2 linked regions of the Arabidopsis thaliana genome follow. The protein of the gene in region 1 interacts with the protein of each later gene in a pairwise test. Each region holds a gene or a part of one and is shown on either strand. Other genes may lie near its edges.

Region 1 (3,758 bases):
ATTTCTTACTAGATAAAGCCCGCCTAAATAAGCGGGTATAAGATGTAAATGTAATTTTTATCGATAATATTTAAATTTTGAATAGTAAAATAATAATCGATACATTGTTCTTGATATATAATTTTGAATAGTAAAATAGTAGTCTTATGCATTTTATTTTGTTATACCCATTCAATCTTATTGATGATATTTGAAGTCTAAATAGTAACCTACACACTTTTTCTTTATTGTAATTTAGTATTTAGAAGAAAAAATAAAATTTTATCTTATACATTCAATTTTGTAATACAATTTAACTATCTATTTCATAAAAAACTCGATTTTAATTTTACACACTTCATCTTACTTGATAATGATTTCATGTCAAAATAATATATATATATAAGATCAAATCTATATCTTAGTTAATATTAAAAATTATTAACAATTAACAAAACATAATTCATAATAATAAAACATTTGTTAATACCATATATATTAAAAATTTGACCAATAACATATATATATATTTTTTTTGTTAATTTTCCTTTTGGTTAAGAAAAATAAAATGTAATATTTTTTAGATATAGAAATATGAATTAGTATATGTTAATAATGATTTCTTTTTTTAGTTTTCTATTTCTTTAAGAAAAAAAAAGTTAATTATTTTCTTACACATGGCAACATCTGATCGATAGACTTGACACGTGGCATAATCTTATGAGTTAGTAACTTTGAAAACCATACTTTATATAATAAGATTTTTTTTTGTTAATTTTTCTTTTGGTTAAGAAAAATAAAATGTAATATTTTTTAGATATAGAAATATGAATTAGTATATGTTAATAATGATTTATTTTTTAGTTTTCTATTTCTTTAAGAAGAAAAAAGTTAATTAATTTATTTTTTAGTATTTCTATTTCTTTAAGAAGAAAATGGTTAATTATTTTCTTACACATGGCAACATCTGATCGATAGACTTGACACGTGGCATAATCTTATGAGTTAATAACTTTGAAAACCATATTTTATATAATAAGATGTTGATTTATTCTTACTTTTTTTGCTATATCTTTCCTTATATTTCATACTTAATATTTTTTTTTTGTTTCTAAGATACATACATTAACTCTCATATTTATTGTCTTAACTAAATTTTACTTTTATTTGTACACGTGGCTTCCCCCCACAATATTTTTGACCCAAATCCAAAAAAAAAAAAACACTATCAATAATATTTCCTCTTACCATTTATGTCTTACACACAAGTGTCAAAATATAGTAGAAGACATAGAAAATGTTTAGATTATGATTAAATATCACAAAACTTTTGTGACATAAATCATGATCCATATGCATCCAAGTTCTAATAATAGGTCGATTCGATCTTGTAAAAAAAAAAAGTAATTAATAGTAAAAGATTTTGTATTGAATTTTGAGATATTTTTCTCTCACTATAAAAAGATGAATTGTGTAGCTAGAGATCATAACAAACTCTGAGGAGATTCAAGCTAAGGTACATTTACAAAAACTTATTTTAAATTACAATGGGTTGTTGCATTTTCGAAACTGATCCTACAGACCAATAAGTACTATTCAGTTAATTTGAAAACACTTACAAAAAAAACTAAGATATAATTTAGCAACTTTAACATTTTTTATTATGTTTGTAGGGACATTAATGGGAAACTGGTGTAGTTGTGTAACAAAAGATGAAAATAGTGATAATTCTAGTAGCTCTCAAACTTCTACGGATAAAGAAAGTAGTGTGCAAGTTTCTTCTGTGAGCACTACGTCTTCTTCAGAGATTTCATCTGAATGTTCTTCTTCAAAATGATCATCTCAAAGCTCCCAATGATGGAAGCGTAACTAGTGAGCAAATGTCGCATGGATCATCTTCTTCATCTTATCAATAAAAAAATCTTCAAAATAAATAATTTTCTATGTCAATTTTTATATTAAAAGAAACTTTGTTAAAAATTATGACTATTAATTAATAACTATATTATTACATAATCTTTTAAATATAAGTTTTAGTTTTAATTTTTAATAGTTGCTTTATGTCATGCTGATGTGTTGCTACAACAAAATTCTTAGCAAAATTTATGCATTTTTTTCTTAAAAAAAGAGAGTTCTATAAGTATAATCCAAGATATATTCTTGTACTTAATACGAATAATTAAAGTTATGATTAATCCATAAAGTTCTATTTCGATGACACGGTGTCGTATTTGAAGCGACGTGGCAAATCCTTATTGGTCTATATGACGCAGAACGGGAATTGCTCTGAAGAATCCTTTCTCAGGCGAACGGAGTTTGGAGTCAAAATCCAGAGCGCGGGGAAACGAAACGAGCCAACAAATCCGCCATGGCAGCTCGTAAGAGAGCTTCATCGATCTCAATTCCCAACAAACCGGACCCGTCGGAACCCAACTCAGCGCCATCGGAGCAGAAGATGACCCGAAAGACGGTTTCTGCTTCCGGTGAGGAATTTCGTCTCGCGCCGCCGAAATTAGGAGTGATCTTCGTGATCTCTACTCTTCTCTGTTCGCTCTATCTATACCTTCTCTGTTTTCACTACAAGGTTGATAATGAGCTCAAGCGATCGATTCTAATTAACGCGGGGCTTAGCTTGGTTGGGTTTTTCGTCACTCTCAAAATGATTCCTGTTACTGCCAGATACGTTCTGAGACGTAACATGTTTGGTTTTGATATCAACAAAAGAGGCACGCCTCAAGGAGATATTAAAGTGTGAGTTTTTATCAATCTCTGATTTTCCAAAGATTAAGATTAGTTTGATTAAAATTTCTTCATCCTCTTTGTTTTCAGGCCAGAGTCATTGGGTATTGTTGTTGGTATTGTCTTTTTGATCGTGGCGATAATATTTCAGTATTTTAACTTCACTGAAGATTCTAATGTAAGTGTGCATTAACGTCTTGTTTTATTAATCTCTGTGGTTATTCTCATTATCAATGTTTGTGAGTCTGGCTGATGATTCTGTGCAGTGGCTTGTGGAGTATAATGCAGCACTAGCATCTATTTGCTTCATGATTTTGCTTGGATTTGTAGATGATGTCCTTGATGTGCCTTGGAGAGTGTAAGTCCTAATTCCTACATATTTTTTTGATGAAATTCACGCTTATCGTTTTTGATTCACATGTTTACTGTTGTCAATTTAAACAACAGAAAGCTTGTCCTGCCATCTTTTGCTACCCTTCCACTTTTGATGGCTTATGCTGGTCATACAACTATTGTTATACCAAAACCTCTTGTTGCTTATATTGGCTTGGAAGTGCTTAATCTAGGTAATGGTTCTTGTACATGATACCACCTATTTGTACACATTGACTTGTATTTTTCTTTTGAGGAGGTAAATGATTATGATTAGCTCAATAGATGTTTTAACGTGGCAGGAAGGATATATAAGTTATATATGGGGCTACTTGCTGTCTTTTGTACAAACTCTATTAACATCCACGCTGGTCTGAATGGCCTTGAAATCGGTCAAACAGTTGTTATTGCCGCTGCTGTAAGTCTTATGGTCATACATAATGTCTCTGAATTTTTCTCATTTTGTTTCTTTTGGGTTGAGATATGATGCATCCCAGTTACCTGTAGATCCTGATACACAACGTTATGCAAATCGGAGCATCTGTTGATCCCGAGTATCACCAAGCTCATGCCTTCTCGATATTTCTTACTCAACCGCTGATGGCCACATCCTTGGCAATGCTTGCTTACAATTGGTAAAATCCCTAGCAGGCTTTCTCTTTAAAACT
Region 2 (3,758 bases), about 17 Mb from region 1:
TGATGGACTCTCCGTAGACAAATGTGGGGGCAATTTTGTTGGATCAACCAAACCCAACATTTATTTTATATCTGATTTGAAGATTACATTAGTAAATAAACAATGGTTAGAGTCAAGTTTATACAAATATATGGGACCCAACTAATAAGAAAAAAAAATTATTGACGTCAGATATATACTAATAAAGTATATAACAAAGGACCCTCAGTGCATGTAATTAATATATATTTTCCAATAAATATCAAACTATAGATTTTCTAATGTATTTAATGTTATTATTTCTAACTAGTAATTAATTGATAATTTGACAAATAAATTTTTGTTTCACATTATTCTTATATAAAACTGTAAATGATTTGTAGCAAAAATACAAAACTGTGTATATAATATACTTTATAAATAGTTTCTATGTATTGGATCCAAGTAGGATTTCGAAGACTTTGAAGGGCACATCTTTTTCAAAGTTTACTTATACATATTTAATGTAAGATAAAGTCATTGTTTATATGTTTTTTTCTAGAACACTTAAATTTCCACAATATGATAATTTAAATTAATTGAATTTTGTTTTACTTTGGTTGGTTTGTGGATAAAATCCAAATATTACAGTCACTATCTTTCGACGTGTCTCACTTGCAACCTAATCCTTTTCTGGAATGTAGCTTTTTTTTTGTTTGTCAATTTTATTTCTTTCTCTCTTAATCCATAAAAATTTTAGGCATTTTTGTATTACTGTCAAAGAACTGATTAGCTATGTCTTCTATATATCTAAAATAAACCATAAGAATCATAGTTCATACTCATTATGGTATTCTTAATTTTCTGAAACTATCGATAAAATGTTAAAACGTTATATACAAAAAAGGACTATCAACGTAGCAATAAAATGAATTTAGACTTATATGAAAGCTAATGGTGACGAAGAAGTTGACGGTGATGCCGGTCATTTGGGTCGGTGGTGGTTCCGTCACGGAGACTTTGACGGTGCATTATTGACGTCAACATGAAGTAGCTCTCACAAAACACAAAAAGGACCGTTTAGTTTGCTAGTTATTAAAAATATAATGGGCTTCAAGCCCATAATAACATGTCTTTTTACAAAACAGAAGCCACGTATTATATAAACCCATTTTTTAATATATAAATAATTGGGCTGTACTTGGGCTTGGACGGTTTCACTCTTTTATTTTTATTTTTTTAAAGTTTTTTCTATATTAGTAATGATATATTTACAGTGGAAGCCTTTTTGGCGGAAAGTTCTATTAATACTTATACACAAAGAAATTGAGGTTCAAGTCCCAAATACTGTGATTTATTAGCAGATAATGGAGATAAGTGTGCAAGAGATCTCGAACGATGTACAATTATAACTGTTTGCCAGGATTTGAAGATCTTTCAAGGTGTCCATCAAAAGCATGAAGACGGAGAAGAAAGTGTCGTCTTTCGTGGATCTAATAAAGATCGAAACAAATTACCCATAATAGAATCGGCTATATAACGGTTCTCATAAATCATAATTTGCAATAAATAATAAATCTAAAACGGTAAAAGAAAAATATATTTACATGAAAATAACATGTCATTTTAAATATTTCCAGAATTAAAATATAATTCCAACTGTCAACGGTCCATATACGTTATCTATAGACTATATAGTACATAAATTATTTTAAAAAGACAAATAATTTGTTTCGAGAAATAATGTTGCTGTCTCGTCAAAATTGGAAAAAAAATACATTTTAAAATACAGAGAAACGAATTATTGAGAGGAGAAATTTAGAGACCATTCAGGTTTTGATTGAAGAAAAAAAAGATTCCCATTTTATCATCTTTTTAGTTTTTAGTGTCAACTCTCCAACAAAAGCAAAAACCTTAAAGAATTTTGTTCTTTTTTTAAAGCAAAAGAACCAAACATGGTTTCACATGAATCCCAATTTCATTGCAAAGCATAACTAAAAATAAAGAAGAAGACTTTTTGGAGATCGAATCTGTTCATGTTGATGGGTTTTGGCTGAGCTTTCTAGAGATAGAGCTAGAGAGTACTGGGTCTGTGTAAAGTTGATAACTTTTTTTGGTTTAGAGAGAGAAAGGACAGAGCTTTACAGAGATGGAGATGAAGCAGATGAAGTTTCTTACTCACCAAGCTTTCTTTTCCTCTGTTCGATCAGGAGATCTTAGTCAACTTCAACAGTTAGTTGACAATTTAACCGGAGATGAGCTAATCGATGAGTCATCGCCGTGTTCTGCTGTGGCTGAGCTTATGTCTGTGCAAAACGACGCCGGAGAGACCGCCGTCTATATCTCCGCCGCAGAGAATCTTGAAGACATTTTTCGTTACTTGATTAGGTTTTCTAGTTTGGAAACAGTTAAGATCAGATCCAAATCCGACATGAACGCTTTTCATGTCGCTGCCAAGCGAGGTCACTTGGGTATGTCTCACTAATTCTGACTTCAAATCTTCAAACTTTGGCTCTCTGATTATGATTTTGAATCTGAAATTGCTGAAAATGGATTTGAATTTCGTAGTTTGAAGATATTTTGATGTGGCTCTGCTTATGATCTCCAGGAATTGTGAAGGAGTTACTGAGACTATGGCCAGAGCTTTGCAGAATCTGCGACGCTTCCAACACGAGTCCGCTTTACGCAGCTGCGGTTCAAGATCACTTAGAAATAGTAAATGCAATGCTTGATGTTGATCCTAGCTGTGCAATGATTGTGAGAAAGAACGGGAAAACATCTTTGCACACTGCGGGAAGGTACGGGCTTCTTCGGATAGTGAAAGCTCTCATAGAGAAAGACGCAGCGATTGTTGGTGTTAAAGATAAGAAAGGTCAGACTGCTCTTCACATGGCTGTTAAAGGACGAAGTTTGGAAGTAGTCGAAGAGATTTTGCAGGCTGATTACACAATATTGAATGAGAGAGATCGAAAAGGGAACACTGCTTTGCATATTGCTACTCGAAAGGCGCGGCCACAGGTATTACTCCACTCCTTTCTTAGCTTCTTGTATTGCTAGTTAGCTTTCAAGAACAGGGGTTGACACATAAATGCCTTTTGTGTTTTGTTTATTAGATAACGAGCTTATTGCTGACCTTTACGGCGATTGAAGTGAATGCGATTAACAACCAGAAAGAAACTGCTATGGATTTGGCGGATAAGCTGCAATATAGCGAATCTGCTTTGGAGATCAATGAGGCTTTGGTAGAAGCTGGGGCTAAGCATGGGAGGTTCATTGGTCGAGAAGATGAGGCGAGAGCATTGAAGCGAGCAGTGAGTGATATCAAACACGAGGTGCAATCGCAGCTTTTGCAGAATGAGAAAACCAACCGTCGTGTCTCTGGGATCGCGAAAGAGCTGAGGAAACTCCACAGAGAAGCGGTTCAGAACACGACTAACTCCATAACGGTAGTGGCGGTTCTGTTTGCTTCCATAGCGTTCTTGGCCATATTCAACTTGCCGGGTCAGTATTTCACGGAGGGGTCGCATGTGGGACAAGCCAATATTGCAGGGAGAACCGGATTCCGCGTGTTCTGTCTTTTAAACGCGACATCTCTGTTTATATCGTTAGCGGTTGTGGTAGTTCAAATAACTTTGGTGGCGTGGGACACACGGGCGCAGAAGAAAGTTGTGTCTGTAGTGAATAAGCTAATGTGGGCAGCTTGTGCTTGCACATTCGGAGCATTTTTGGCGATTGCATTTGCGGTTGTTGGAAAGGGGAACTCGTGGATGGCGATTACCATAACGTTGCTTGGAGCACCG

The links.
Region 2: the proteins of GPT (region 1) and AT2G01680 interact in a protein complementation assay, tested with the Arabidopsis thaliana proteins (one large-scale study listed by BioGRID).

Annotation. Positions count from the first base shown.
Region 1 is NC_003071.7:17,299,415-17,303,172, forward strand, and holds the start of GPT (UDP-glcnac-adolichol phosphate glcnac-1-p-transferase), read left to right. Parts: upstream 1-2,157; 5' UTR 2,158-2,347; coding exon 2,348-2,730; intron 2,731-2,808; coding exon 2,809-2,896; intron 2,897-2,984; coding exon 2,985-3,076; intron 3,077-3,165; coding exon 3,166-3,284; intron 3,285-3,392; coding exon 3,393-3,508; intron 3,509-3,597; coding exon 3,598-3,725; intron 3,726-3,758.
Region 2 is NC_003071.7:304,490-308,247, forward strand, and holds the start of AT2G01680 (Ankyrin repeat family protein), read left to right. Parts: upstream 1-1,761; 5' UTR 1,762-2,107; coding exon 2,108-2,429; intron 2,430-2,566; coding exon 2,567-2,976; intron 2,977-3,071; coding exon 3,072-3,758.